Regions from separate parts of the Mus musculus genome. Here all the other regions are reported to be linked to region 1. Evidence: microRNA targets listed by miRTarBase, many of them from high-throughput screens and not tested one by one. Region 1 holds a microRNA gene; each other region holds the end of a gene's coding sequence.
The links. The annotated mature microRNA mmu-miR-24-3p reads UGGCUCAGUUCAGCAGGAACAG and lies in region 1 at 3,584-3,605, opposite strand. An mRNA with a match to its seed (bases 2 to 7 or 8) in the 3' UTR can be bound and repressed. Matches are read on the target gene's strand: a 7mer-m8 pairs with bases 2 to 8, a 7mer-A1 pairs with bases 2 to 7 and ends in A, and an 8mer does both.

Region 2: the mRNA of Tyr is a reported target of mmu-miR-24-3p. Seed matches in the 3' UTR shown: 7mer-A1 at 5,324-5,330 and 8mer at 5,255-5,262.
Region 3: miRTarBase lists Commd7 as a target of mmu-miR-24-3p. Seed matches in the 3' UTR shown: 7mer-A1 at 3,013-3,019.
Region 4: miRTarBase lists Lims1 as a target of mmu-miR-24-3p. Seed matches in the 3' UTR shown: 7mer-A1 at 2,290-2,296.

What each region holds. Positions count from the first base shown.
Region 1 is chr13:63,297,693-63,304,855 of GRCm38, reverse strand. Mir24-1 (microRNA 24-1) reads right to left here and starts at 3,648; the gene lies at 3,581-3,648. It overlaps Aopep (aminopeptidase O), which reads right to left. Exons shown (of 16, transcript NM_001289926.1): 16 at 1,979-6,144. The coding sequence ends at 6,004. It overlaps Mir23b (microRNA 23b), which reads right to left and starts at 4,372; the gene lies at 4,299-4,372. It overlaps Mir27b (microRNA 27b), which reads right to left and starts at 4,144; the gene lies at 4,072-4,144. It also overlaps Mir3074-1 and a transcript of Fancc not described here.
Region 2 is chr7:87,422,728-87,429,890 of GRCm38, forward strand. It overlaps Tyr (tyrosinase), which reads right to left. Exons shown (of 5, transcript NM_011661.5): 5 at 2,044-6,557. The coding sequence ends at 6,322. Among named protein-coding and RNA genes, the nearest start is that of Tyr, 67 kb to the right of the region's middle.
Region 3 is chr2:153,613,352-153,620,351 of GRCm38, reverse strand. It overlaps Commd7 (COMM domain containing 7), which reads left to right. Exons shown (of 9, transcript NM_133850.2): 9 at 840-3,422. The coding sequence ends at 916. Among named protein-coding and RNA genes, the nearest start is that of Commd7, 16 kb to the left of the region's middle.
Region 4 is chr10:58,420,266-58,427,428 of GRCm38, forward strand. Lims1 (LIM and senescent cell antigen-like domains 1) reads left to right here. Exons shown (of 11, transcript NM_001193303.1): 11 at 1,189-4,426. The coding sequence ends at 1,190. Among named protein-coding and RNA genes, the nearest start is that of Ranbp2, 23 kb to the right of the region's middle.

The DNA.
Region 1 (7,163 bases):
TTGGGATATCTGCCATTTCTGGTTTCTACCCTGGGGACATTCTATGACATTTCTGCTCACCACAAGCAAGAATACCTTGCTATAGTATCAATTATTTCATTCTTTTGATGTGAAATTCGTTTGAATAAATAAATACATAAATGCTTTAAAATCCTCCAGTACTATTGGAATAGCTGAGTCAGAGCGCCCAGAGTCCTTTCTGGGACTTTCTCAACCCCACCCTTCCCTTCTTCCTGCCTGGGTCCAGCCAGAATTCCCAGTACCTCTCCCTTGGCTTCTGTCCAAAGGCTCACAAACAAGGTGGTGAGCTCCCAGCCAGCCAACCTCTGCCCCTTCCTGGGGTTCAACTCTCTTCTACAAATCCGAGTGTGGATGGCTCCCTTCCTAGGCCAGGTTCAGGATCTATGTAGAGGGACAAAACAGTGGGTTCAGGATCTATGCAGAAGGATAGCCCACAGTGGGGGCACTGATGTTTCCTCCTGTGCAGGGAACCATGGCCCAGGGGTCAACATCAGATGATCTAGATGCACCCCCTTCCTGTAGCCCTGGCCTCACTCCGGTTGAGGCCTGCTCTAATCCTTGTCGGAAGCATCCCAGATAACACGGAGGGGTGTGTCTCCTCTGGAGAAGAGATGGAGTAACTCTAGGCTGTCTTGGTTGGAAGGAGGCCATTTCTGGTGGGATCAGTGAGAACAGGCTGGCCCAGCCCTGGCCTGTTGTTCTCAAGTGATGGACATCTGCTTAGCAATGACGATGACAGTATTCAGTGGCAGGGTTAAGAGGCTGGTGTTTCTGCTATCCCACTCACCTCTTGGCAGTTATCTCACACGGATCCTCCTGTCCCGGCCCCTCTACCTACTGGAGGCATGGGCCTGGTGGTAGAGCACTTTGCTCCCATTGGGTTTCTCTCACCCTTCAGCTTCCTCCAGGAATGAAGTGAGGCTAGAAAACGGCATGGAAATAGTGCTGGCAACAAGTGTGCCTGACCACCAAGGACAGTCTCAGTCTCTCCAGGGACAGAGGAGCAGACTCAGGTTCAGGCTTCCAGGCTTTCAACACAGGCTCAGTCTCACATCTGAGTGGTGGGAGGGAGAGTTCCTTAGAGGGGTTCCAAGCCCCTGCCTAAGGCTTGGACACCAAAGCTCTGAAGACCAAGCACTACAGAGTGGTCTACAGCAAACACTGACCCAGGGATCCAGCTTCTTGCTCTGCCCACTTGTGGTTTGGAGCAGGAGCCTGGGTGATGATCCACATCCTTCCTCCGCCAACAGTTCACTCATCACCTGAACCATATGCTATAGAGCAAACTCCTCCCTGGGTGAGACAGCTCAGAGGAGGAGGTCAAGCCTCCCTAGACATCCATTCTTCCGCCCTCAGACCCTGCTTCGCATCCTATTTGACAAGTTAACGTTTGCAATGTTCTGTGTCCTGTGAAGTCAGGTGGCTCACGGAAGAATGGAGACTGCACTTTCTTGACTCCAGAGGTCTCAGCCAGATGAGGGAAGCCTGCTTCCACAGCCTCATGGGCCTCTGGTGCAGCTATGGGTGGCAGGAGCTGCTGCCTAACTTGTTGGGGTGGGGGACTAGAGGAGAGGGGAGGATAGGCTTGCTCTGCACCCAGCCAGAGGTGGCAAAGGACAGCTCTACCACAGATCCTTCACCAAAGCTGTGAAATGGGCATCTGGTTCCAGTGAGATCTCCACTTACCTGAAACCCATTGGCAAGAACCCAAGCCAGACACAGCCAGGCACAGGGCTCAGTGACCCATGGGGACAAGGGACTTGATCCCTGAACAAAACCCACCTTAGGCGACAGCTTTGTTTTGCTTTAGTGGTTCCTAAGAACAAAGAACAAAACCAGACTAAACCAGTGCTTGGCTGCTCTCTCCAGTTCAGAGGAGGTATGGGCCACTGAGGTTCTCAGAGGGGCCTTACAGGGTGTGTGGTTCTTAGTCCACCTCTAAGCAAGGCCAGAGTGCTTCTGAGAGCAGGAAGGCATAGACTCAGCCATTTATTTCAAGTCTTCACAGAAATCAGGGTAACATTAAGTAGAATTAACACACTTTGATACTTGTACCATTGTGGTATACAAAGCAGATAACCATTTGCAAGTCCCCTGCAACCATCCAAATGCAGTCACTGCTACAGCCCAGGCTCTGAAAACCAATGGTTCTGTGCGGACGCTCCTCTCAGTCTGTCCTAGAGCCTTTGTCACCCAGCAGGTCTGGGTGCAGAAGCCTGGCCAGCCAGTGGGATGCTCCTTCTGGTTCCTCTGTCCACCGCTCTGCCTTGGCTGGGCTCATGTGACTGCACTGATGGCTCAGTCTCAAGCACCGTTCTCTAGACAGTGACTGAAAGAGCTTAGAGCTTGTTCTGAGACTCCGCTAGTACCAGGCTGGCTGAAACTCCACATTTGGAAGAGAGCAGAGTCCCAAGCCACACTAATTTCCCTTTACTTCCAACCTTTTTAGAATTAACATTACCTGGAGGTAGGAAGTGTGTGGAAAGTGCCTGTTCTGACACACGTTCTTCTTTGCTTTTAAGGAGCATCAAATTCAGAAGCAAACTGGAACACTAGCAAATCTGGTACTTTATTAAGACATTTTAGGCTTTCCTGCATTTTCAAAAACAGGAATGCTCTGTTGACTGAACACATCAAAAGGGCTTTGCAGAATCCTTGGGGACCAGCCACAGGAGGTGTCACATGATTCTGCAGTCTCAGAGCATGGCAGCTAGTTTTTGCAATCACAGGAAGCAGGCAACCGGCTCTCCATCTGCCTAGGGGAGGGTGTCCTTCATTGAATGACTGCCTTAAAGTCACAGCTCAATTCCAGTGTGTAGACTCAGTCTCTCTAGGACTGGGAACAAAGGCAGCTGCCAGGTGCAACAGTTTATGAGGCTCCGCCTTTTATATATGCCACGGGAGCCCAGTCTCTGGAAGCCCAAGATGGACCAACCACTGCTGTGGGCTGATGGCCTTAGCAGCCACATAATCCTCCCTTTGATGTCCAGGGTCAGTGCAGTCCTGGCCCCACCAGGGCTAGGAGAAGGTATATGAGAATCTCACTGTGATCTGTCCTGTGGAGGAAACAGCAATAAAATTTATTACCCAGTCACCACAGCCATTCCAACAGGAGTCCTCCCAGCCTCTGACCTCCACTTGAGAGGGAACTTTTCATGGGAGGACAGGGGCAACACTGAAGCCACACCTCACAATCCTGGGTCTGGGGTGCACAGTCACGGCACAGGCCATGCAGGGCTGTGAAGCCCAGAGAGGTTCAGAAAGGCTCTACAGACAAGGCCCTTCAGACAGGCATTCTCACTGCTCAAGGCAGCGGTGACATGGTGTGCTCTGCCCCAACACGTGGCAAATGCTCAGCGCCTGCCCTACCTGCTTCTAGGGAATGCAAACTTTCCAAGGTTAGCTCTGCACTCTACAAATCCCCACCTCGGGAGCACATACAGAGGGATACCACTGCTGTTGGGTCTGGTACCAGACACTCAGGCCCTTCATCTTCTTCTCCGTGGGAGGCCTGCCTCAGGCACTTACAGATGGGTAGGCTTTTTGCTCAAGGGCTCGACTCCTGTTCCTGCTGAACTGAGCCAGTGTGTGAAATGAGAACTGATATCAGCTCAGTAGGCACCGGAGGGCGGGTCCAATCACAGCTGGGCAGTGCCTCCTGGCGTGCCCTGGGCATCATCTTGCCAGCGACTGTGGAGACATGGAGACCTGGACTGCAAATACAAGAAAGAGTTCACCACGCCCAGCAGGGACAAAGAACCACACCCCCACCCATCACGTGTGGCATCAGCTGAGACAAGGTTGGCTCAGTTTCCTTGATGCACCTGGGTTTAGTTTTCTGTGACTCCCAATACACTTGACATTACAGTGAACTAATTAGCAGTAGAACTGTATTTTCTGTAGACACACTTAAGGGTGGTCAGCACGCTGTTTGCACTCTTGACAACACAGCCTTGAGGCAGGCTGGTCTCTCCTCCTCTGGAGTGACCACCAGGCAGTGGCCTCTGCCTGGCAGCTGCAAGTTAACTGTCCCCATCTCACCTTCTCTTCAGGTGCAGAACTTAGCCACTGTGAACAAAGCGGAAACCAATCACTGTTCACCAATCAGCTAAGCTCTGCACCTTGTTAGAGAGGTCATCGCCGGCCATAATTAAAGGGCTGGTGAGCATCTTCGAAGGCTGTTGGCTTCTTTTGTTTCCAAAGAGCCACAAGGCGCCTCTGTTCTCCAAACTGCAGAGAGAAAGTAGCCACGGTTCTGCAGGAGCAGCCAAGGTCATGGTTGCGTGGTAATCCCTGGCAATGTGATTTTAATCTCAAGTCACAAATCAGCATGCCAGGAACCCAAGCAGCCAGAGCAGGTGAGGGCAGCACCATGCCCAACCACTCCCATCCACATGTGCTGAGTGTCCTCCAAACCGCCTCTGAGCCCACCACGCTAGCAGTGCAGCCTGCTGTCCTTCAGCGCGCTGGCTGCACTGTATAGAGGAGCATAGGGGACTGGGAGACAAAGGACACACTTATCAGCTATGAGACCAATACCTTAGGGACCATCCTTGCTCTGAGTATGTGGCCTTTAACCCTGGGACACACCCTGTTCTCCAATTGCAGACTGAATGGGTTGGGATGTCTCTGGGCCCCTCAGACAGCAGGTGTGGTGTGTAGGGAGGGAGCATCTCTCTGGCTTGCCTGTGACCAAGCATTTGGTTGGATAAGCTGAGGCATAGCACAGAGCTCATAGGGGACCTAGCAAGTTGAGGATTTGCTCACTCAGGGGGCAAAAATACTCTTAGAAGAGTCACTAGGACCACTATGTGACTATGGCTTTCCTAAGTGAAGGCCTAGGGACCTAAAAAGGGAACAGTGGCTTTACTGTGTGACCTTCACACACCACATACCAACAATCCCTCAGCTTACAAGTTTCTAGAGAAATGTCTGCAGGAGGCAGTGAAGAGGCGCCCCGACCGACTCTGTCTATCCACACAGGCCACCGTCCTAGCTTGTAGTGTGCAGGCTTAGCAGGCTGTACCTGCTTACTCCAGCCCACTATCTCCCCTGCTTGACTGTGGCGGTCCCCAGCTCTTCTGCAACAACATGGTCATACATAGTAACATGTTTTCCCTTCATCAGTGTAGTTCTTCAGAAAAATAAACATTACACAGAAGTGGGTTTTATAAAAGTGAAATGTGAAAATGTAAATTTAATGTCTGACAATGGGTTAAGATTAGCAACACAATTCTAAATATTCATTAATTGGTAATCATAGAGAACAACAGAGTAACACAGTGATTGATGTAAAATTTCAAACATATACAAAAGTAAACATCATATGTACCACCATGGCAAGCGATAATGTCCTGGGATGATGTAGAGATGATGACTGGCGACTATGAAAGAGACGCACTAGCCCACACCTGTCTCAGAACTCCACGCCCTGTGGCTGAACTGCATTACTGGTCCACAAGCTGGCTACAGAGGAGGCAAGTTACACCACAGCCAAGGACTCTGGGAGCCAGCGTAAATCCTGTTCCAGCACGAGATGGAAACAGACTTGCCTTTAGGACGCAAGTGTCACTTGGATGGAGGGGCAGAGAAGACCTGCTGCCTACTCTACAGGTCAGAGAACCAGAGGCCAAGGAGTCTCAGGTTTACACAGCCTCTAGGAGAGATGCCTGCATGCTGAAGCCTGGAGCAATGAGGCCATGGACCGCTGTGTTGACCTTGACCCTGGAGCCTGTGGACCTGTGCAAAATCCAGGGTGGCTAAAGCAGTGCCAGATCTGTTGCTCCTTCAGCTGTACCTGCTTCACACCCATGCTTCCAGCAGGTGAGGTGCTCCAGAGATCCTGAGCCTTCTTCCTGTTCCTGAGGACCCACCTTGCTGCTTCCTCCCCAAGACCGTTTGGCAGCCCTCTGGTGCTGTGGCTCATCATGTGGCTTACCAATTGACATGGATGGTTAGAAGAAAGAAAAGAGAATTACCTCTTTAGAACAGCATTTCAGTCACCACCTGGGCCGATGCTCTGTCCATGTGTTCCTTCACCAGCTCAAAGCACCTGTGGGCTAGCTGCTGCAGCCTGGCGTCCTCACTCACCATCAGCTCCCCATACAGGTATATGCCCATGGCCTGCAGACCGTGAAGGCCAGAGAAGAATGGGAAAGGGGTAAGAGGCTGCACATGTTTATGGGGACTTGTTTGTATTGCTTTACACAAGCTGGTCTAAAAGCACAAAGGACAGAGAGAGAGCCTGCTGCCGTGCAGGTGACCAACTGAAGCTTGCACCTTCTACTCTGTCTCCATTGTCCTTATCAACACTCTATGGAAGCTGAACATGGTAGCACAGGCCTTTAATCTCAGCACTGGGAGGAAGAATAGGACGATCTTTGTGAATTCAAGGCCAGCCTGGTCTACATAGCAAGTTCTAAGCCACACAGAGTCACACAATGACACCTTGTCTCAAAAAACAACAGAAATACAGAATTCTATTGATTCTGTCAACCGACTCCGGTGCCCGAGTAGCAAGCTATCCCAAGATGGCTATTGTCAGGAATACACTGGGCAGAGGCAGAGAGCTCTCAAAATGGTCACCATGGAAAACCTTGTCTGTCAGGCCAGTGCATCCTAAAGGGTAGCTGGCATGAGCTTGCTTACAAAGTCCATCACCTAACAGGCCACAGAGACCACATGGCCAGCAGTGCAGGCAGGGCAGATGCTGTCACTTTGGCCTAACCCAGCCACCAAATGTCAGACTCTTGGCTCTTCTGCTTTGAAAACAATGCTACAAAGGCTTGAATTCTCACTGAGCCAACATTAAAAAAGCAGCCAATTACATTCTGCAAGTTCTGCCCGCTTTCTTGTTCTATGGAGTTTCTCAAGGGTTACATTCTGCTTCAAATTCAAGTGTTTCAAAGGCAGCATAGGATAAAAACTCAGTGTCGGCTTCCAAAGAGCTTTCCTGCAGGGGCTGAGGCGTGGAGGTCCCTGTACAGCAGACAGCATGGCTATGCCAGTGAGCTGCTCTTAGCTCTGTTCCTGTCTGCTTTCTCAAACAATTCTTACTCCACTGTGCAAATGTGACATTTCTGCTGTAAAAAAGTCACATCCTTTGCTTTATGGGAAAAACCAGCCCTCACTTTGACTCTGTC
Region 2 (7,163 bases), not on the chromosome of region 1:
TATAGGCAAGATAAACAAAATGCATTCTGTCATCTATTTTATATTACACTGTGATGACTCCTCGTGACCAATGCAGAAATGTTAGTGATTGGTTCTAAAGCTTTGTCTTAGAATTTAATGCATGTCCCAAAATCACATGAGATTCTGTGTTCAGATACTGAGGGTCCCTGTCCCCAGTTGGTTATTGATTAGTCAATTGTCGCGCCCGCTCTCGACCAGCAAGAACGACGCGACCACCAGTCCTTCTAACAGCAGTTTATTCAGTCCTGATTCTTCTTGTTTATATCTCCCCCGAACCCTGGGCCTCTCACTCCTTTTATACTCTCTCTCATCCATGCACCGCAGGCCACGCCCCCTCGCCAGTCACGAGGCTTCAGCTAATCAGGGCAGCAGGGGCAAATCTCCACCAAATTGGATTCACCTGTATCCTGGTACACCTGCGCAGCACTCGAGATGTTTGTGTCTTATATGAGGAAGTCAGGTGCAAGTCATATGACTTAGCTGCAGTCCCTGGCGCCTTTGGGACTGCCGCCACACCCGCTCCCCACAGTCAATAAAGAGCCAAACCCAATAGCTGGTCAGAGTGAAAGAGGCAGGACTTTTGGGATTTCTGAGCAAGGAGAAGACAAAGGAATTCCACTATGAGGGGGCTTAGTACTGACCACCCCATACCCCATGATGACAGGGAAGCAGAGAGTTCATCATTAAGACAGGGAAATGACCCCAGAGGCCACTCACCATCTTCGGTCTAGGGTAACAAAGATAAAATATAGATTTAGAAAGTGTTCACTGAAGAGTACGGATGGAAGTGTATGCTAGCTGAAGGGAGGTTTGCAAATGCCTGGCCACTGAACTAGTCAAGGCATATTAAAATTAAGCTGACCCGAGTCTGTGTATGTGTGTGTGTGTGTGTTGTGGTGTATGGTGTGTGTGTGTTCTAATTGTGTGTGTGTCTGTCTGTCTGTCTGCCTGCCTGTCTGTCTCTCTGTCTCTCTCTGTCTCTCTGTCTTTCATTCGCAAATCCAGAAAATTCTGGCAGGTGACAAGAAGTGTGATCACACGTTCTGACCCCACTCCCAGAAGGGAGATCAAGGTAGATTATTCACTGCTACACATAAGAATCATCCCACCAAGAACACTTTTAGAACAGTTGACATAATAGGTATTATTTCACTGTGGGTGCTTATCTAGGAACTTTCATACTACTGTCAAGATGAAGCAGGATGATGTCTTTCTATTTTTAATTATCTCTTTCTATCTGTATTATTTTTCTTGACTTTGTGTCCCTATGGAACTATAGAATTCCAGGACTTACTGTACAATGTAGTTATTTTTACATGCTGAGACAAACTGTGAATTTAAAATCATACTAGCTAGTGTAAAGATCTGTTTCCACTAATTTGAACTTCAAAAATTTGTACAATTAAACTATTTGCATCTGCACTTTGATTTTCTCCATCTCTGTCTCTATTTCTGCTGTCTTTATTTCTGTCTGTCTCTGTATGTGTACGTGTACATGTATATATATACATATATATATATGTATATATACACATACATATATATATACATACATATATATATATATATAAAGGAAGAATCCCCAGTGTCCTTCTTTACCAATTTCTACCTATTCACTGGAGACAGAGCTTCTCACTGAAGCTGGAGCTAGGCAGGTAGACAGAAAATCGAGTGATTTTATTTTTGTCTCTGTCACACTTCCTGCACAGAACTGAGGTTATAGGTGAGCGCATTACCATGGCCATATTTTTTATATAGATGTTGGAGTCTGAATTAGGGCCTTTTTGCTTGCACAGCAAGTGTTCTTATCCACTGAGCATAACCTCAGCTCAATAACTTCCACTATCCAAGGAATGATGATATATGTGCAAACATGACAGATTTTTGTCATATAAAACAAATTCCCAGTGTTATTAGTAATGGTGATAATTATAGTAAAGTAATCAAAGATATGTGTAAAAGTCATGGAAACAATATGGCTTTGCATTAGAAATAAGAATTAAAGTCATGGAGGCATAAATTAAAAATTGTGATACATACAATTTAATAGGGTTTTTGACTTCTTAAAATATCTTTGTTATTCAAGCTTCTTCATCATTAAAATAAAGTAATATAACCATACTCAGTGTTCATATGACAAGCAGAAATTATATAGAGTAGTGCTTAGACATGCATCCAGTATATAAATGATGAAAAGGTTCTATTATAATTGTTAAAGAAGAGATTAATCTAATCTAAAAAATTATGTCTTAGAATTGAGATGGGTAATTATTTTTCTATTTTATGACCTTACTTTTTAAATTGTGTTTTAGAATATTACTCTAGAATGATTATTTCCATCATAATTTTATAAGTAGTTATCTACTTTCCTATTACCCCACTTGCATTTTTCAATGTAGCATATGGTTTATGTGTCTTAATCATCTTTATACCCCCAAATTCTAGGAAATATCTGTGAAATAAGTTAATGCTGATTTCATTTTGTCTTTATAAGTAAAATACATAACTACTTGGATTTTTTCTTTAATCATTGGTATATATTTATTATACAGCATATTGGTATATATTTATTGTACACATTACAAATTTTATAATGTACTCATTATAAAATTTTCATACTTGTATAACTTTTTCTTTGCTTATACTGATGCAACCCCAAACTACCCACAATATTGTCTTTCCTGCTACATTCTAGAATGCGTTAAAAAAAAAACAAATAGTTCCTCCTGAAAATGTGCATGTATACACTTATATGTATATATAATATAGAAAAACGTGATTTTTAGTGTGACCTATTGCATTCATCATCATGAATTATAAATACATTAGTTTTCTTGCAAATGACATAATTTAATTCTTCTTTATGGCTGAACAAACCTCCACCATGTATACATGCCATGGTTTCTCTATCCATTTGTCTGTGGATAGACATCTGGGGTGTCTCCACAACCTAGTTGTTGTGAGTAGCACTGTAATAAACAGATGTTCAGGGAACTCAAATAGTATATTGACACAGATTTTAGGGGGTATATGCTCTGCAAAAGCTGCTACCGCTACTACTTATGAGCCAGATCATACAGTAGTTGTCATTAAGAAAGAATAAAATATTTTAAAAATTAAACTGAAATTAATCAATTATTGTGTATATTGCTAAATATTTCTTTTTAAACATTTCAACATTTGTTTTCTAGTTAATGAAAAGATAATACTAGATTTTTAAAAGGTGATAAATTTTTAGTTTATTTTGTTTTATTTTGAGGTTCCATGATCACCACATTATTTTTAGTATAATTTCAGCATCAGACAGTTAACTCAGCACCCATTATGAAATGCCATTAAAGTTAGGATTATTGGCCTAACATAATAGAAATCACCTTTCCTGTGAAATTGAAAGTATCTCTCATTAAAACAGTCTACTTTCATCCTAGTACAGCAATATCTACCTGTAATCCAGACACTGCTCTGAGACTGGAAAGCCAACAAAATCCAGCAGTAGGAACCAGTTTATGCAACATATAGAACACTGATTTAGAAAACAAACTTTTTACTTCTATACATTTACTTTTAATTTTCTAAAAAAAAAAAAGACTAAGAAAGTAAAAATAATTTTAGTAAAGCAAATTTATTAAGAACTATATTTCACTAAATATTCACACTCAACATTTTATTTACCTATGGGACAAACAGGATGCAGAGCTGTTTAATTAAAGAGAATGCATATATTTTAAAATAGGCAAAAGGAAAGTGAAAGTGATTACTATGAATTTTTAAGATATTTTTTGAGGAGACATATTCAATTGTGATCCCAAATTTGGCAACTAAATAATTAAGGTAAGTCTCGAGTCTACTAGTTTAAATGGCTAATAATCAATTCACAATCAATCAGATCTAGTGACTGAAGAAAGTTCTACATGAGTTTTGATTCCAACCCACATATTGTTCGTTCAATTACATTTTATAAATATTTTATTATTTTTTGAAAATTTGATATAATGTAAATCTGCCCTCCACTTCTCCATGTGACTCTCCGCAGATCCACCCCCACCTCACTGCCTCCTCAGCTTCATGCTTTTATTCTTTTTTAAATGTAATAGCTCAGTCATTATAAGGCATGGTGTACCTATACTACTGGGCTTGAATCCTTCTACCAGAACATGATAACTCTACCAGGACTCGAATAGAAAACTGAGTGTCCCTCAAACAGAAGCCATCACTGCCCATAGGGCATCAGATGGGGATTGAGGCTAAGAAATCTCTTCACACTCCATCCTAGAATGCTGCCATATAAAAAAACAATAAGAGGCCCCAAATAATAAATTTGAAGCATATAAAACTTAAATAGAACATGAAAATTACTAAAGTTGTTCATATGTAGTTTGCAACAGCTAAATAATGTTAAGGCTTTTGTGGTATTAATAGCTTGTTTATAATTTATATTCTATTGTATAAACTGACAAACTCTACTCATAAATGAAAGCTTATATAAATGCTGAACATCAATGATTTATGCTTGCTGTCAGCCTCATAAGGACACTAGTTAAAATGACTTGTATCGATCACAGGTTAATCTCTACAGATAGAGAATTGCATGTTTGATTTGATAAAAATATATGAATACTAAAATTAATTTTAAAAGCCTAGAGGAAGAAGAAAGGGGGAAAATATTGCCACTTATTTATTTCTTAACAGAATGATGTAGCAACAGGACAATTTCAGAAAAAAGTGAAGCAATTTATAAAAGCTTCACAATAAGCAAGACTGAAATATACAAAGTTAATGAGAATTTAATGAAACTTTCAGATATATTGAAATAGTCATAATATAATTTTGTTACCATAATGAGAATATATAATCAAAGAGATGGTAACTTTTATCAAAGGTGTGACTGCTATACAAATACATACCTTGAACCGCTAGAGAAAAAAACAATATTCTATGATGACATGAAGTGGCAAAGGAGGGAATTGTATTGTGATAAAGGGAAACACTGAGTTTATAAAGACCCTTGTCAGCTGTAATGAACATTTGTTGGGTAGATTTATATATACATGCTAGGTAGCAGAGTACAAGAAAATGCTTGCATTGCATATACAAGGCACTGGGTTGATGTCCAGTACTAGAAAAAAAAATTAGTTTAGAAAACTAAAAATTTGCTTCCTAAAATTTTACTAAACTAAAAACTAAAACTTAAATTTTACTTTCACTAAAGTAAAAATTTACTGGGCTGGCGAGATGGCTCAGCGGGTAAGAGCACTGACTGTTCTTCCAGAGGTCCTGAGTTCAAATCCCAGCAACCACATGGTGGCTCACAACCATCTGTAATGAGATCTGACACCCTCTTCTGGTGTGTCTGAAGACAGCTACAGTGTACTTATGTATAATAATAAATAAATCTTTTTAAAAAGAAAAGAAAAAATTAATTTACAGTAAAAATTTACATTCACAGCAAATTTTGGTGACTCAACAGGTGTGAAGGTCTCAAAGATGACCCATGTGCCCCTGACACTATCACACTAGAATCTGATTCAGATAGTTTCCCATCGCTGTTCCCATTCCTTTGGCTCTTGGGCTTGATGATTTCAGATTGCAGTCAAGCCGACTTGAAGCTTCAGATGTTACTGAGTCATCTGTTTTGATTAATTTTCTGGCTATGGTAAACTTCAGGTAATAATCTCTAGTAATAACCCACTCCTTCCAGGAGCCACTATCCTATTAGGCAGAGCATTCCCATCTCTTGCCTGATATTTTTCCACCAGTCACAGAAGGTAGATAAGGTAACTTAAATGACAATTAATAAAAGCTGGCAGATGTTCTCCTCTGTTACTAATTTAGTAATTATTCGTCTTTCCTAATCATTAATGAAATAATTTCATAAATTAATGAATCATTTCTATCAATCCAAGATTTTCAAAATTGTTTGAATCAGTTAACACACACATACACACAAACACACGAGAGAGAGAGAGAGAGAGAATATTTTTCTTGGAAATTCACAATGAAGTAAGGAAAACAAAAATGTGCCTCAAGTTTAAATAATTAAGACACATTCATAAAAACCAGCTCAATTAGTTGTAAGAGGAAATTTTATTTAGCTATTAGTAAGTTATTATTTATATATATATATATATTTTAGCAAATCCCAGTCATTTCTTAGAAACTAGGACTTAGGAAAAAACATGGGTCTGAAAAAAAGCCAAACAGCTATGGTCTATGTTTTATACTAGTTTAAATTTGTAGAAACACCAACAAATAGGTCGAGTGAGGTAAAACCTTTCAGTCCCACTCTGTTTCCTAGGATGTTCACAGATGGCTCTGATACAGCAAGCTGTGGTAGTCGTCTTTGTCCATGAGGAGTGGCTGCCTTTCCTCCTGGGGTTGCTTCTTCTTCTTCTTCTTCTGAAGGCATAGCCTACTGCTAAGCCCAGAGAGAGCTGCAGCAATAACAGCTCCCACCAGTGCTGCCCCAAGAAGCCATGGCCAGATACGACTGGCTTGTTCCAAGTAAGGCTCAATATAATTTCTGTAAAAGCCTGGATCTGAAATAGAAAGAGATCAAGCTGTTTTCACAGATATCACCAGCACCATCAGCAGCATTTTAGCATGCTACTTAGGAGTAAGAGGCTTGGGTTGTAATGCCAGCTGTTTTGCTTAATAAAAAGAAAATCTTGGGGGAAAATTAACCTCTTCCTTCTCAAGCACCCTTTCCTCCCTAGGAAGAAAAGAAAATAATTCTCTGCTTTTGGGATCTTTTGAAACTTGAATATAACCCTTGATGTGCAATATTGTTAGGTACTATTGTTACAATTCCTTTTGATGATTATGTAATTATACTGCTGATCTATGAAACATAGTTATATTATTAACTGTTGATGATCTGTTGATAATTTAAATTATTTGAGTAACACTGACTATACTGCTAGAAGAAACTTTGTAGTCTCAGAGCATTCTCAAGAACACTACGACATTTGTACACTCTCTGTTCTTGCAGAGATCTGTGCGTGTGTGTGTGTGTGTGTGTGTGTGTGTGTGTGTGTGTGTGTACATTGACATGTGCATGTACATGCAGAATGCACCAAGGTAAAAAAGAGGGTGAATGTACCCCCGGAGCTAAAGCTACAAGTAGTTACAAGCTGCCCATGTTG
Region 3 (7,000 bases), not on the chromosome of region 1:
GGTTATCACCAGGCTCTAGAGTGGCCTCCACTGCCTTCCCTCTCAGAGCAGGGCTGTTGCTAGGCTATTGGGAGGTTGGAAAGCCCGAGTGGAAGGGGCTAAGGGGTGAATAGTGGGAGCAGATTGGAGGCAAGACACTGGTTTTTAAGATGTATTTATTTATTTTATGTATGTGAGCACATTGTAGCTGTTTCACACACCAGACAAGGGCATCACATCCCATTACAGATGGTTGTGAGCCACCATGTGATTGCTAGGATTTATTTTATGTATATGAGTACACTGTTGTAGCAGTCTTCAGTCACACCAGAAGAGGATATCTGATCCCATTACAGATGGTTGTGCGTGCTATGTGGTTGCTGGGAACCTCTGGAAGAACAGTCAGTGTTCTTAACCGCTGAGCCATCTCTCCAGCCCTTGGAGGCAAGAAACTCTTGTGGACATCCCTGAATTCCTTTGAAACCTTCCATGCCTCTGTGTGACACTGTTATATACACACTTCAGTGTTTTTGGAACTGAGACCCTTGAAGTCAAGGCTGTAGGTTCCTTATTCTGATAGGTTATATATACATCAGGAGCCTCTTAGCTGCATGTAGCTCAATGCAGCCCTTGCTATAGGCCTGGGTTTGCTTCCCAGCACCACAAGAAGGAAGAAAAGGCTGCTAAGATTACCAGCGAGTATAGATGTCAGCCTGGAGATGGAGCCCTGGATACTTAAGGCCCTAGATCTGCTCCCTATCAAATGAATAAACAAACGATGGCTGCGGGTAGAAATGGATTTTCCTGGTACTTCTGTGGCATTGGAAACACTCACCTCAAACTGACTTTTCTCTCCCCAGAACTAACCTTGCCCCAGTTCTACAGCTTCCTGCACGAGATGGAGAGAGTCCGAGCGAGCATGGAGTGCCTCAGCTGACCCTGTTCCCGTTCCCTTGCCCCTGCCTCTTCCCTAGTGTCAGCCTACTCCAGGCTCCCAGCTGCCTTGAGAGGCCGCGGACAAAGAGCTTCTAAAACCAAGAGTCTCAGCGCTTGAGGAGTGCTGCCTGATTCTTCTGCAAGCCCCACTGGGAGCCACCACCTCCGGCTCCTGGGTGACTTTACACCTAGATGCTCCGAGAGCTACTGCATCTGGGACTGTGTCCTTTCTCTGGGAGGCAGTCTTGTCACCTCCCATCCAACAGTTCACAAACGGCTCAGTTCCTTCATTCAGATGGTTGGGTACGTGCTTGTGGCTGAGGAAGGGCGGGTGGTGTGGACAGTGTGTCAGGAGTGGTGTCACACGTGTCACACTGTTTGGAGGGGGAAGGGCATTGCCAGCCACTGTCTGCCGAGTCGTCTGTGTAAAAGCCTGTGCTTAGTCTTCTCTGGAAAGAACTGAGGCCAGACGATTTCTGTGTTTGTCTCTTTGGCTTTTGTGTTATAAGGAGGCAGGCCTTTCGAGGCCATCTTACATTGTTTGGTTCCAGAAAACCAACCACCTTTTGGTTAAGTGGTAAATTAAAAAGAAAAACAGTTTCTAAAGAAAAGCTCTGAATCCACAAAATGTCTTTCTCCATGGTTTAAGAGTCAGCCGACCTGGGTGTAGCGGCATATACCTACAACCTTGGCCCTGCGGAGACAGAGACGGGAAGATCACCATAAGCTAGAGGTTAGCCAGAGCAGCAAAGTGAGAGCCTGTCTCAAACCAAGCCAGCCATGGGGGCGAGACTGACGGCTCTGTGGTTAAGAGTGCTTCCTGCTCTTTGGGGAGTCCCTGGTTGCTCTGTTCACAGCATCCACTTCTGGAAGCTCACAACAGCCTGTAACTCCAACCTCACATCTTCTTATCCAAGAGCAGGCATACACATGCCATGAGTATACACATACACATATACACTCTGACACACATTCATTCAATAATGCAAATGAAATAAATCTTCTTTAAAAGGCCACAGGGGGGCTGGTGAGATGGCTCAGTGGGTAAGAGCACCCGACTGCTCTTCTGAAGGTCCCGAGTTCAAATCCCAGCAACCACATGGTGGCTCATAAAAGGCCACAGGGTGTGGCATAGCTCAGTTGGGAAAGTGTTTGCCTAACATGCATAAAACCTGGCGTGGGTTATGTGGCCCCTTGTCTCAAAAGAATAAAACCAGGGCCAGTGAGATGACTTAGCAGGTAAATACACCTACCCCGATGCCCGAGTTCAACTCCCAGGATCCACTTGGTGGAAGGAGACCACTGATCCCCACAGGTGTAGTCTAACCTGTACACACCCGTGCACACCCAAGCATGCCTACTAAGTAAAGACATCAAATTAATATAAATATCTTAATTTTAGATTTGGTTTTCATGGTACACCTATAATAGCTTACAACCCTCTGTAAGTCCAGCTTCAGGGAATTTAATGCCTCTGGCCTCCATGGATACCTGCGCAAATGCTCATAATTAAAGATAATAAATCTCTAGCCTGATTGCTTAAATATTCCGTTAAAATTCTCTCTTTGGACCATAGCTAATCTCATAAGAGAACTAGGGGCTTTCACCAAAAAGAGAATGGTAACTTGTTGTTTGAAAAAGAATGTAGTTAAGGCATTTCTGGATGGCTTGGTGCTCACTGTATACCCAGGGCTGTCCTCAAACTCATGACAATCCTACCTTGCCCTCCAACAAATGAGTGCTGGGATTACAGGCATGGACTCCACGCCTACTCTTTACAAGGGACCAAATACAGGGCTTTCCTGCATGTTAAGCAAAACACAGCTGTGTTCCCAGCCCATAAAAGTTTTGTTGTTCTCACATTTATTTATGTGGAGTTGGCTGAGTCATGTTTAGGGCCTTGTGGATTCAAGACAACCTTCAGGATGTGCACTCTTCCTTCCATCCAGCCGTCCGCAGCAGGATAGGTCTGAGTAGACGTGAGGACCCCTTCCCACCTTTTTTTTTTTTAAAGATTTATTTATTATTATACATAAGTACACTGTAGCTGTTTTCAGACACACAGAAGAGGGCGTCAGATCTCATTATGGATGGTTGTGAGCCACCATGTAGTTGCTGGGATTTGAACTCAGAACCTTTGGAAGAGCAGTCAGTGCTCCTACCTGCTGAACCATCTCACCAGCCCCCCTTCCCACCTTTTTCTAGCTATTCACTGGAGGAGATCTGCTAGTTCATTCTGTATTCTGGAGCTATTTCTTGCATTTGAATCTATGTGCATATCTTCTGTGTGTACTATCTCACACAGACAGCAGCGTGTATAAACACCAACCTGCACCTTGTTTTTTCCAGTTCACATGGAGATCTCTCTTTATCAAAAGCAAGAGCCGCCTCAGCCTTTGCTTCCCCCAGTGATTGATCGGACCAGTTTCCTGCTGGTTTGATACAAGGTCTTTTTGTAACACCCTGGATGCTCTGAAATTTGAAGATTAAAGATCTTCACCACCATTTTTTATGGGTTTGTTTGTTTGTTTAATTGTAATTGCATATTACAAATATTTTCACTAAGCCTACCTTGGTGGTGCACGTCTTTAATCTCAGCACTTGTGAGGTAGAGGCAGGCAGATGTATCTGAGTTTGAGGCCAACCTGGTCTACATAGTGAGTCTCAAGACAGCCAGGGCTATGCAGAGACACCCTGTCTCAAAAACAAACAAAACAACAACAAAAAACACCCAGACTTTTTATTTACATTGAAGGGTTTTGTTTTTTTCCCCATTCAGTGCATAAAGATTCTCCATCCCTTTCTGGCTGTAAAGCAGTTTAATGTGTTCATGCATTATAATGTTATTTGTTACTTTGGTTACTGCCAGTATTCATCAGGGTTCTCTAGAGAACAGAACCAGCAGGGTGTACATACATGTCACTATGTGTGCGTGTGTGCATGCGTGTGTGTGTGTGTGTGTGTGTGTGTGTGTGTGTGTGTGTGTTTGAGTTGTTTTCTTTCATTTTGGGCCATTTTGAGACAGTCTAGAACTTTTTTTTTTTTTTTGGTTTTTCGAGACAGGGTTTCTCTGTATAGCCCTGGCTGTCCTGGAACTCACTCTGTAGACCAGGCTGGCCTCGAACTCAGAAATCCGCCTGCCTCTGCCTCCCGAGTGCTGGGATCAAAGGCATGCGCCACCATGCCCGGTGGCCTAGAACTCTTAAATCCTCCTGCCTCCACCTCTCAAAGGCTGAGATTACAGGTTTTTGCTCTCTTGCCAAGCAGAGCTGTTTTATCTTAAAGGATTTGCTGTCAGGATTACTGAGGTCTGAGAAGTCTTAGGGTAGATGACAGAGACACCCAGAGAGAGCTGTAGTCCCATTTCTGAGGTTCACTCTTGACAAATTCCTTCTTGCTCCAGGGGAGGTCAGGTTTTTCTTTTCTTTTTTTTTTTTTTTTTTTTTTTTTTTTTGGTTTTTCGAGACAGTGTTTCTTTGTATAGCTCTGGCTGTCCTGGAACTCACTCTGTAGACCAGGCTGTCCTTGAATTCAGAAATCCGTCTGCCTCTGCCTCCCGAGTGCTGGGATTAAAGGTGTGCGCCACCAAGCCTTTATATTTTTTTCATATTAATACCGTAAGCTGATTAGATGAGGCTACTCACAGCACAGAGTCTGCTGTCCTCCAATTCGCCTCATTTAAATTTAATTCCATCTCAAAAACACCCTTACCAAAACCACCCAGAATGGTATTTAACCAACTGAGTTAAATACCAGCCATCCTGGTGGATGTTCAGTGCTACACTTGACTGTCTCTTTGTTCTTTTCCATAATCTTTCTGTGAAGCCCTGATGCTCTGAAACTTGATGTTTGAATCTTTGTTCCCACCATCATCAAGGTCACCATTAGAAGTTCCAAGGACAACAAGTCAGTTCCCTTGGGCAGGGTCCAGGTGTGCTCATGAGACCTCAGGGGACCTTGAGAATCTAATGTAAGAATTCACCAAGGACGCAGTGGTGCCTTAAATCTCAGCACTCAGAAGGCAGAGGCAGCAGGAAAGCCTGGTCTACATGCATAGCGAGAGCCAGGCCACTTCATAGACTGTTAAAGCCAGGGCCACTCTATTAAGGCAGGTGTAGTGGCACACACCTGCAATCCTGGCACTTGGGACGCTAGGACAGGAAGATTGGTGCAAGTTCAAGGCCATCCTGGAATACTTGCACATGCATACAAAATCAAAGCCCACTCATTTCACAGCAAGGGAAACTCAGGTCACTGACCAGTAGTCATGGGATGCTGCCCTGCGGTCCTCTCTAAGACCAGTAAATACTCTTTACCTGCTGAGCCATCTCTCCAGCTTCTGTTTTCTCCGACACTTGCTTATTGTGGGTTTGTGTGTAGACACATGCGGAGATCAAAAGACACCTTTGTAGAAGTTGGTTCTTGGGACTGGAGAGGTAGCTCAGTGGTTAAGAGCACTGACTGCTCTTCTGAAGGTCCTGAGTTCAAATCCCAGTAACTACATGGTGGCTCACAACTGTCCGTAATGAGATCTGATGCCCTCTTCTGAGGTATCTGAAGACAACTACAGTGTACTTAGATATAATAATAAATGAAGAAGAAGGAGAAGGAAGAAGAGTAAGAGGAAGGGAAGGAAGAAGAAGATGAGGATGATGATTGGAACACTAGCTCAGTGGTTAAGAGCACTTGCTGCTCTTTCAAAGGATCTGAGTTTGGTTACCAGCACCTACATGACAGCTTCTTTTTTTTTTTTTTTTGGTTTTTTTGAGACAGGGTTTCTTTGTATAGCCCTGGCTGTCCTGGAACTCACTTTGTCGAGCAGGCTGGCCTCAAATTCAGAAATCCGCCTGCCTCTGCCTCCCGAGTGCTGAGATTAAAGGCGTGCACCACCACACCCGGTTCTGGCCTCCACAAGTATCAGCCGTCCATGCAGTGCTCTGACATATGTGTCAGCTGTCTCAGAAGGTTGCTGTGCTGTGATGGAGCACCCTGACCAAAAGCACATTTCAAGGTCATTGTTCAGGAGGTAAAAAAGTTAGGGTAGGAACTCAAGCAGGGCAGGAACCTGGAGGCAGGAGCTGATGCAGAGGCTGTGGAGGCGAACTGCTTCCTGGCTTGCCCAGCTCTGCTTGCTTTCTCATTTCGTCTCCCCTCCCCTCCCCTCCCCTCCCCTCCCCTCCCCTCCCCTCCCCTCCCCTCCCCTCCCCTCCCCTCCCCTCCCCTCCCCTCCCCTCTCCTCTCCTCTTCTCTCCCTTCCCTTCCCTTTTCTTTCTTCTTTTCTTTTCCTTGTCTTTTTTTGTTGTTGTTGTTTTGTTTTTCAAGACAGGGTTTCTCTGGCTGTCCAGGAACTCACTCTGTAGACCAGGCTGGCCTTACACTCAGAGATCCACCTGCCTCTGCCTCGAGAGTGCTGGGATTAAAGGCGTCCTTTAGTCCCTTGGCTGTGTTGAAATTTTGTTCCACGTATACTCTACTCCCTGTAGACATTGATGAGGGTCTCGAGACTGCTCCTCTCGGATTCTGACACAACACTGGGCATCCCAGCAGCCCTTCCTGCTGTTCCCACTTCATTGTGCACGGATTTACTCTTGCTCTGAATAAGAATTCTGTCCTCTGCTTTGGCTGCAAAGTCTTTCCCCCCTCCTCTCTATATACTGTTCATTAAGATGGTAACTAATGGTCAGGCCAACCACTAAAAAGAAAAAAAGAAGCCGGGCATGGTGGCACACGGCTTTAATCCCAGCACTCGGGAGGCAGAGGCAGGTGGATTTCTGAGTTCGAGGCCAGCCTGGTCTACAGAGTGAGTTCCAGGACAGCCAAGACTATACAAAGAAACCCTTTCTCGAAAAACCAAATAAGAGAAAAAAGAAAAAAAAAGAAAGGTTAGTCCAGGAGAAGAGGAACCATAACTTTTTGCTACTCATACACAGTAGCAAAGTGTATATATAGAGTGCCCTAGGTTGCCCGGTAGGGCTAAGGAGGCAGTGCCCTGCCATTCTTCCCTTCACACTGGCCAGGCTCAATTCTGTCAGCTTTGTCTGGGAGCAGCAACCCCAGACTCAGCCTGCTGGCGTGTCCCTTTGAG
Region 4 (7,163 bases), not on the chromosome of region 1:
CTACAAATGCTTTCTAAGTATAACTTCACAGCAAATGAACAGGTTATAAATAACGTACAGAGCTTGGAATTCAGCAGTACTAAGCTCCTGCAATTAGCTTTTCTGAGTACATTACAGGTGGAGACCACCTAAGAGCTGTTTTCTCCAGAACTGTTTATAAGTGAATTGATACTATGTGTTCTTCTAGCTTTAAGAATGGAATCATGTTCTCTATTGAACTACCACTTAAGGAACACTTAAGGGCTGTCCCATTACCTTAGTGTTCAAGAATGATAACCAGCTTTTTGTCCCAATAGCTAAAAATAACCTACTATGATTTAAGCTCTTTTTTTAAAAAATAATTTCAGGTAATTTTTTTAAATTAGGAGACAAAAGGAAAATCATTTCTACAGGGAAAGATGAAACCTTATAGTTGCCTAATTAAAAATACTAAATACATGATAAGATCCTTTTACCTTCAAAAATTACATCACTCACATTATAAAAACCATTTCTTTGTGGGGTGTGGTGGTTTTAATCACAGCACTCAGGAGGCAGAGGCAAGAGTATCTCTGTTAGTTTGAGGCAGCCTGGTCTACAAAGCGAGTTCAGAACAGCCAGATCTATACAGAGAAACCCTTCTCCCCCCAAAACAAAACAAACAAACAAAAAAACCCCCCAGTTTTTCTTTGCTTTAAATAAATATATTGGAATAAGTTTGTTGGTGACAAGCATGGTGGTTCACACTTACAATCCGAGCACTGGGTAGACTGGGAAAGGAAAATCCCCATGAGTTCTAGCCAACTAGGCTCTAGAGTGAAACTGTCTCAACAAACTAGGGGGTAAAAGGCACTGAGAAGAGGAAAGCGCTGCCTGATGCTTTAAAGTTTGATTGACTTTATTTGGGATGAAGAGAAGGCCCAGTGCTTAAAACATCACATATTCTAAATGTAGGGGTACAGAACCATTGTATAAGCATATTTTCAACTGATACCAGTCACTCTTGACATTTATCATAATAAGAATTGACATTAGAATTACAGTTCTTTACTGACATGTACATAGAGATTTTATATACTATGTTACATTGCGTCTTCATTTATGTCTTTTCATGAATTTATGTCACTTTATCATGTTTGTGTATATATTGTGCATGTGTGTGCTGAATATATTTCCACTAATTTCTTTTTTATATATAATTCCCTTTAGGAATAAATTTGTGGAATTTGACATGAAGCCAGTCTGTAAGAAGTGCTACGAGAAATTTCCTTTGGAGCTGAAGAAAAGACTTAAGAAACTATCTGAGACCTTAGGAAGGAAATAACTTTTGGTGTCTTTTTTCTCTCTCTTCTAATCAATGTTACTTAACCTGATCTACCCTTGCTTAAAACTATGTCAGAGCATTAGAATGGTTTTCTTCATTTCCCTTTTCTCATTTAAAAACGAAAGAAAATGTTTATTTCTATGTAAAACACAGATGAAATCAGGACTTTCATTTCTTTAGCCATATTAGTCTGTAGGCATTAAAAGTATATAACCAAAAACAAAAACAAACAAAAAAAAAAGGTTAAAGGGTAGTTTTAATTAAGCCATCCAAAATATAAATTTAACTTCAGAGTTAAACACCCTGCTCTATGGACCAACCAAAGCACTTGCTGCCAGCCTAGTACTAAGTTGAATCCTTAAGAGAGTATCTGAGACAGTGTCCACATGGGTCATGTGGAGCAAGAACTTACTCCCACAAGTTGTTCTCTAACCTCCACAGATGGCCATGGTGCATATGCGCCAACACACAGTTAATAAACATAATAGACAACCACTGTTATAAAGAGTCAGCTTTCACGGGACTCACATAAGCTTTGCTTCCCTGATCGCATAAGAAAATCATTTCCCATTCATATACTGGGAACTGTATGGGAAGATAAGTGCCCAAACAGTTCCTATGTTGTCATGTGCTTATCCAGTTAGCATTGTAAAAGGAACATGCATATTACTAAGAAGCAAAAACATTTCAGGATGACTGATTTCTTTTTTTATTAAATCACTAAGCTTAGTTTTCTATTTTGTTCTCCTTATAAATTTTTCCTTCATAAAATTACTTAACATACTTGTAACTACTAATGCATCTTTTACATTTTTAAGCAAAACAAAACAAAAATTTGCCAGTTATCTGGAAAATATTGCATACATTGTGATGTTGGGGAAATGAAGCATTTTAAAACTATATTACACATAAAATGCATAGTATTCAAATGGGACATGAAATGCACTATAATGCAGCTTCGAATGTATGGCTTTCAAAAGTGAGCGTGAGCCAGGTGTGGTGGCACTAGGCTTCAATCCCAGCTCTCTGCAGGCAGATCTCTGTGAGTCCTAGGCCACCCAGGGCTGCATATTAAAACCTTGTTTCAGAAAGAATGACTGTATCTCGTATTATCTTTGTGCTAATATCTATACTTCATACATAATCTAACTTGCCTTGCCTTAGAAAACTGCATCCTATATCAGGAATTCTAGATATTTCTTATAATATCAAAATGAGTATTTTGATTGAGATTCATAAATTTAGAATCATTCACCACTGATACATACTTTAAAAATTCTTTTCTCAGGAAGCCAGTGAAAGTTAATTCCTGTCCTCTTATTAGAACTATGCTGATATACTAAAACATTTTAATGAAGGCTTTTTTATTTCAAATGTCATAACTGGGTTTTGTTTACTATAAAGCAGTAAAGCAGTATAAATGATACCTTTAGACTGAAAGAGGGTGGTAAGAGTATCAACTCTAAGGAAAAATTGGGGAGTTCTACTTTATAAAACTGTTTATCCTGAAATGTCTGGGCCATTCTGTTTGTATGAACTCAATATGCAAGAGTATGAACATTTTTTAAATTTTTCTGCTGCTAACATGTTACCTTCTTTTTCAGTTGCCAAGATATATTTTGCAAATACTGCTGAATATAATGACTCACATTGTAGTCTCAGCATTTGGGAGGCTGAGGCAGAAAGATTACCAGGAGTTGGAGACAAATCCTAGGTTACAGTGTGAGATACTATCCCCCAAAACATCCCCACAAACAAAAACACTAGTGTATTGTTTTGCCGTAAAGAATATCTCTGGGGCCTAGGAAAACGTTCAGTCAGTAATGGACTCACACCAGCCTTAGGACCTGAGTTTAAACTTGGAGGGAGCAGATCCCTGGATTTTACGAGGTAGCCAAACTCAGCCTAACTAGTGAGCCCCAGATCCAAGGGGGAAATCCTGTATTCCAAAAAGCAAGGTGGATGCCTCCTGAGGAAGGGCCGCCTAGACTGATCCCTAGCCTCCACATCCACACACACACATGCACACATTCAGAAATATGGATGTGTACACACAAAAAGGATATCTCAGGATGCTGTTACTCTGCCATTAAAAGTTTATAATCATGAATTTTTAAAATACTTGATTATGCACATTATGGAATACATTTCTGTTTCCAGATAACTAACTTGTAACCAATCATTTTATTTCCTAATATCCTTTTCATATTAAGAGAATTATATGTGACTAAAAATATACATGATTTGTGTTTGTTAAGCATTTTAAATTTGTCTTTGCTTTTGACAATAAGAACCAAAATTTCTTCCGTGTGCCTTTGTCAGCTAAGAATGACTAGCAGTGGCTACCTTAGAAGTATTTATGAACTATTGTACATGCGTTTAGGCAGATAGAACTTGTAGTCTAGCGTCTTGATGTAACTTACATACCTCACTGGAAGTATGGAGCAGAAAAGCACTCATTCCCGTGCTTTCCCCATCCCTTTCGAGGTGTGTGGCCTTGCCTGACTGCCTTTGCTTACGTGACATCGCTTAAGCCAGAGTCCCCACTGCTGTCTTTGCTCACTTCTCTTCAGACAGGAATATTCCAGTAAGTTTGATCTCATAATTATGTGGTAATTCATCTAGAGATGGTGCTTTTCACTGTGGGGTAAATCATTAGAGCCCTTAGTGTGGAAGATGGAGGTCTAAATGGGGCCAAGACAGAGACTTCATCTACTTCCTATTAGTTGTGGGGTTTCACTGGCTGCTGGCATTTGTCAGTGAACATCTGTTTGAATTTCTGAGAACAATCTGAAATAATTCATTGTGCTTATGAAATTTCTAAGTGCCCTTTTTGTCCTTATCCTAATATAACATGGAAAATGGATACACAAAAAAGATTTTTTGTGTCATGTTCAAAGCCTTATTATAACACTTTGCCTGAAATAGGTCATTTTGCCTCATCCATTTGCCAAATTAGCCAATTTCAAGTTAGGGAAACTTTGATGTAGGCTGACAATATCCTTGTATTTTATTTTAGATTGTAAGCTTAATGGCAAGAAATTATATCAATAATTGTGCTTTTTATGTAGCAACCATTGCTGTGTACTTTTGGTGCTTAATAAATATTCATAATTATTCATAGTGTGTTACATATCATTTAGTTTGACCTATCTTTGAGAATTCAAATATTCATTTAGTATAATATGTTAGAAACATCATATATGTAAGTAAAAGAAAATGGCCTGGGTATGGTATACAAGCCAAGTTTTAGCACCTTTTGTATTAACTTTTCCTGGGGCAACACAGATAAATGTCTACTCATCCCAGACAGAGAACCATTCTACCCACATAGTTTGCTGATGTGGTGATTTCACTGAACTAATTTCCAGCAGTTTGGGTGAAGGCTACTTACAAGAATTTGGATAACTTTAGGACAGCTGCATCATAGAAAAGCTGCATCCTTGCAGCACTGGGACAACCTCCAAAGCTGCGTAAATGGAGCCCCACCCTTCAGTTACCTTTCCTCCTACATATTCTAGTGCCTCTCACAACACGCCCCTCTGGAGCAGAATCACTTACATCTGGGCTCAGGGCGTGCAGGAGGGAACAAGTAGCTCCTATCTCAAATGAGGTCTAGTGGCCTCCCCCACACACCTCCTATAAGGAAACTGCTTTGCTCAGGGTCTTGCAAGTAATCAGCAGCTATGATTACAATGGTACTAACTGTCTTACTCCAAAGACAACATCCCACAATGTCACAGAAATTGTTGGATGTCAGAATAAACAACATTTTCCAGTTCTAGGGACCCATTCCAGACCTGGCCTTGTGTTTGGTAGATATACCAATTCATTGCACACTGACCAAATGCTTGACAAGAAGCAATTTAAAGGATGAAGAGTCTCTTGTGATGAGGAAGTGTGTGTCAGCTTGCTCACATCTGGGCTGATCAAGAAGTAGAGGGAAGCCTTGGCTGCAATCATTTCTGGGCTATAACCCTTAAGACCCACCCACTGGAGCCTCATGGAGATAGTCCATATTCCAACCCTAACATCCAGTAAGCGCTCTGCCACTGAGTGGAATTCCAGCTCTCACTTGGATTTCCCTCTCTTCACAGGACAGCTGGGACTTTCCTTTGTGTACCCTTGAAATAACCACATGAGTAGATTACAGACCACCATGAATATAAGGCCACTTCAGAGTGCTTTACTAAAGCCTGTGACAGAGCAGGCTCCTGCCATAAAGTACACTTACTCTGAAGTGAAGCAGGGTAGGGTTTACAAAGTCAAGGTTCACAATCACATCACACCAGAGTGGCACGGGGCAAGAACAAGAGTTTTCATTTCAGTCGATTAAACCCTTTCCTTGTATGTTGTAAAGCAATGGGCCTTCCAAAGCTGTCGCTGTGGCTACATAAGAATCTTCTCAGCAGGATGGGCTCAGCCAATGGGAAGAGCTGAGTGTAGACTGTGGTCTGAGGGAAAGGCAACACATTGACCCATTATAAAAGGGGTAGCATTGGGTCCTCAGGTACGAAGGCTGTTCGTTTGAAAGAGTTTAATAACCAGTTAATTAAACAGTCTGTAAAAGGGACAAGAGGACTGGGTAGGCCCATGATTCCAATCAAACTAGCCATGGAATTGAGTTTTAGGAAAGTATATCATAAGGACCAACAGTTATTTGGAGCCATAGTCTGGTATGGCTAACCAAAGACATCAGACAATTTTCTATTATAAACATCATTTTTAGAAGCAGTAGAACTAGTAAAAACAAATTTCATTTGTCAGAGTCCAGTCCTAGGTAAGGATCGTGTCTGTACTGGCTAGTTTTGTGTCAACTTGACACAGGCTAGAGTTATCACAGAGAAAGTTGAGGAAATGCCTCCATGAGATCCAACTGTAAGGCATTTTCTCAATTAGTGATCAAGGGGGAAAGACCCCTTGTGGGTGGGACTATCTCTGGGCTGGTAGTCTTGGGTTCTATAAGAGAGCAGGCTGAGCAAGCCAGGGTAAGCAAGCCAGTAAAGAACATCCCTCCATGGCCTCTGCATCAGCTCCTGCTTCCTGACCTGCTTGAGTTCCAGTCCTGACTTTCTTTGGTGATGAACAGCAGTATGAAAGTGTAAGCTGAATAAACCCTTTCCTCCCCAACTTGCTTCTTGGTCATGATGTTTGTGCAGGAATAGAAACCCTGACTAAGACAGTGGCTAACCCTATAGGAAGCATTATGGCTAATATTACTCTGAGTCCAAAAGGAAGAACATACGTAGTAATTCCTATCTCTCAGTGTCTACTTTGACTTCCAGGTTTGTCGTGGGAGTAGAGCTGAAGACCTAGTCGCTGTCATTTCTGGAAGGTGACTTGGAGAGATCTCTTCTACAGATAGTGTTTTCTTGCCCTGGATGTTTTGGATCCACAAGGTGACACTTGTGACTAGTGTTTGAATGGGCATCTGTGGTTAAGCCTGCTGTGCTGACTGGCCCTGTATCAAAGTCGGGTGATCAGTTACCTCTTAGCCCTGGAGTTAGCTTTTGCTAAGAGGAATATTGAATGTCAGGATAGAAGGCATAGCCAAGTGAACTAGCATGCAGGTCCCATACCAGCTGTCAGGCTTAGGCACAAGGTTCCTCTATTCACAGCACCCACATATGACATTTGACACATGACATCTGCAAATAGACATTTGTGAGACATTGAAAACAGAGTAATTACTATTTGCCTGAGAGTAGGTGCAAACTCTAAGATCTCCACTGAATGAGAGAATCCTTCCTCCTGCCATGTGAAACGTGGGAAATAATTTGTCTTTTATAGAGATGGGGAGATTTTCCTGGTCTGTCTTACACGGCTAGAGACTGTGGAGCAGCAGACTCAGGCAAATTTT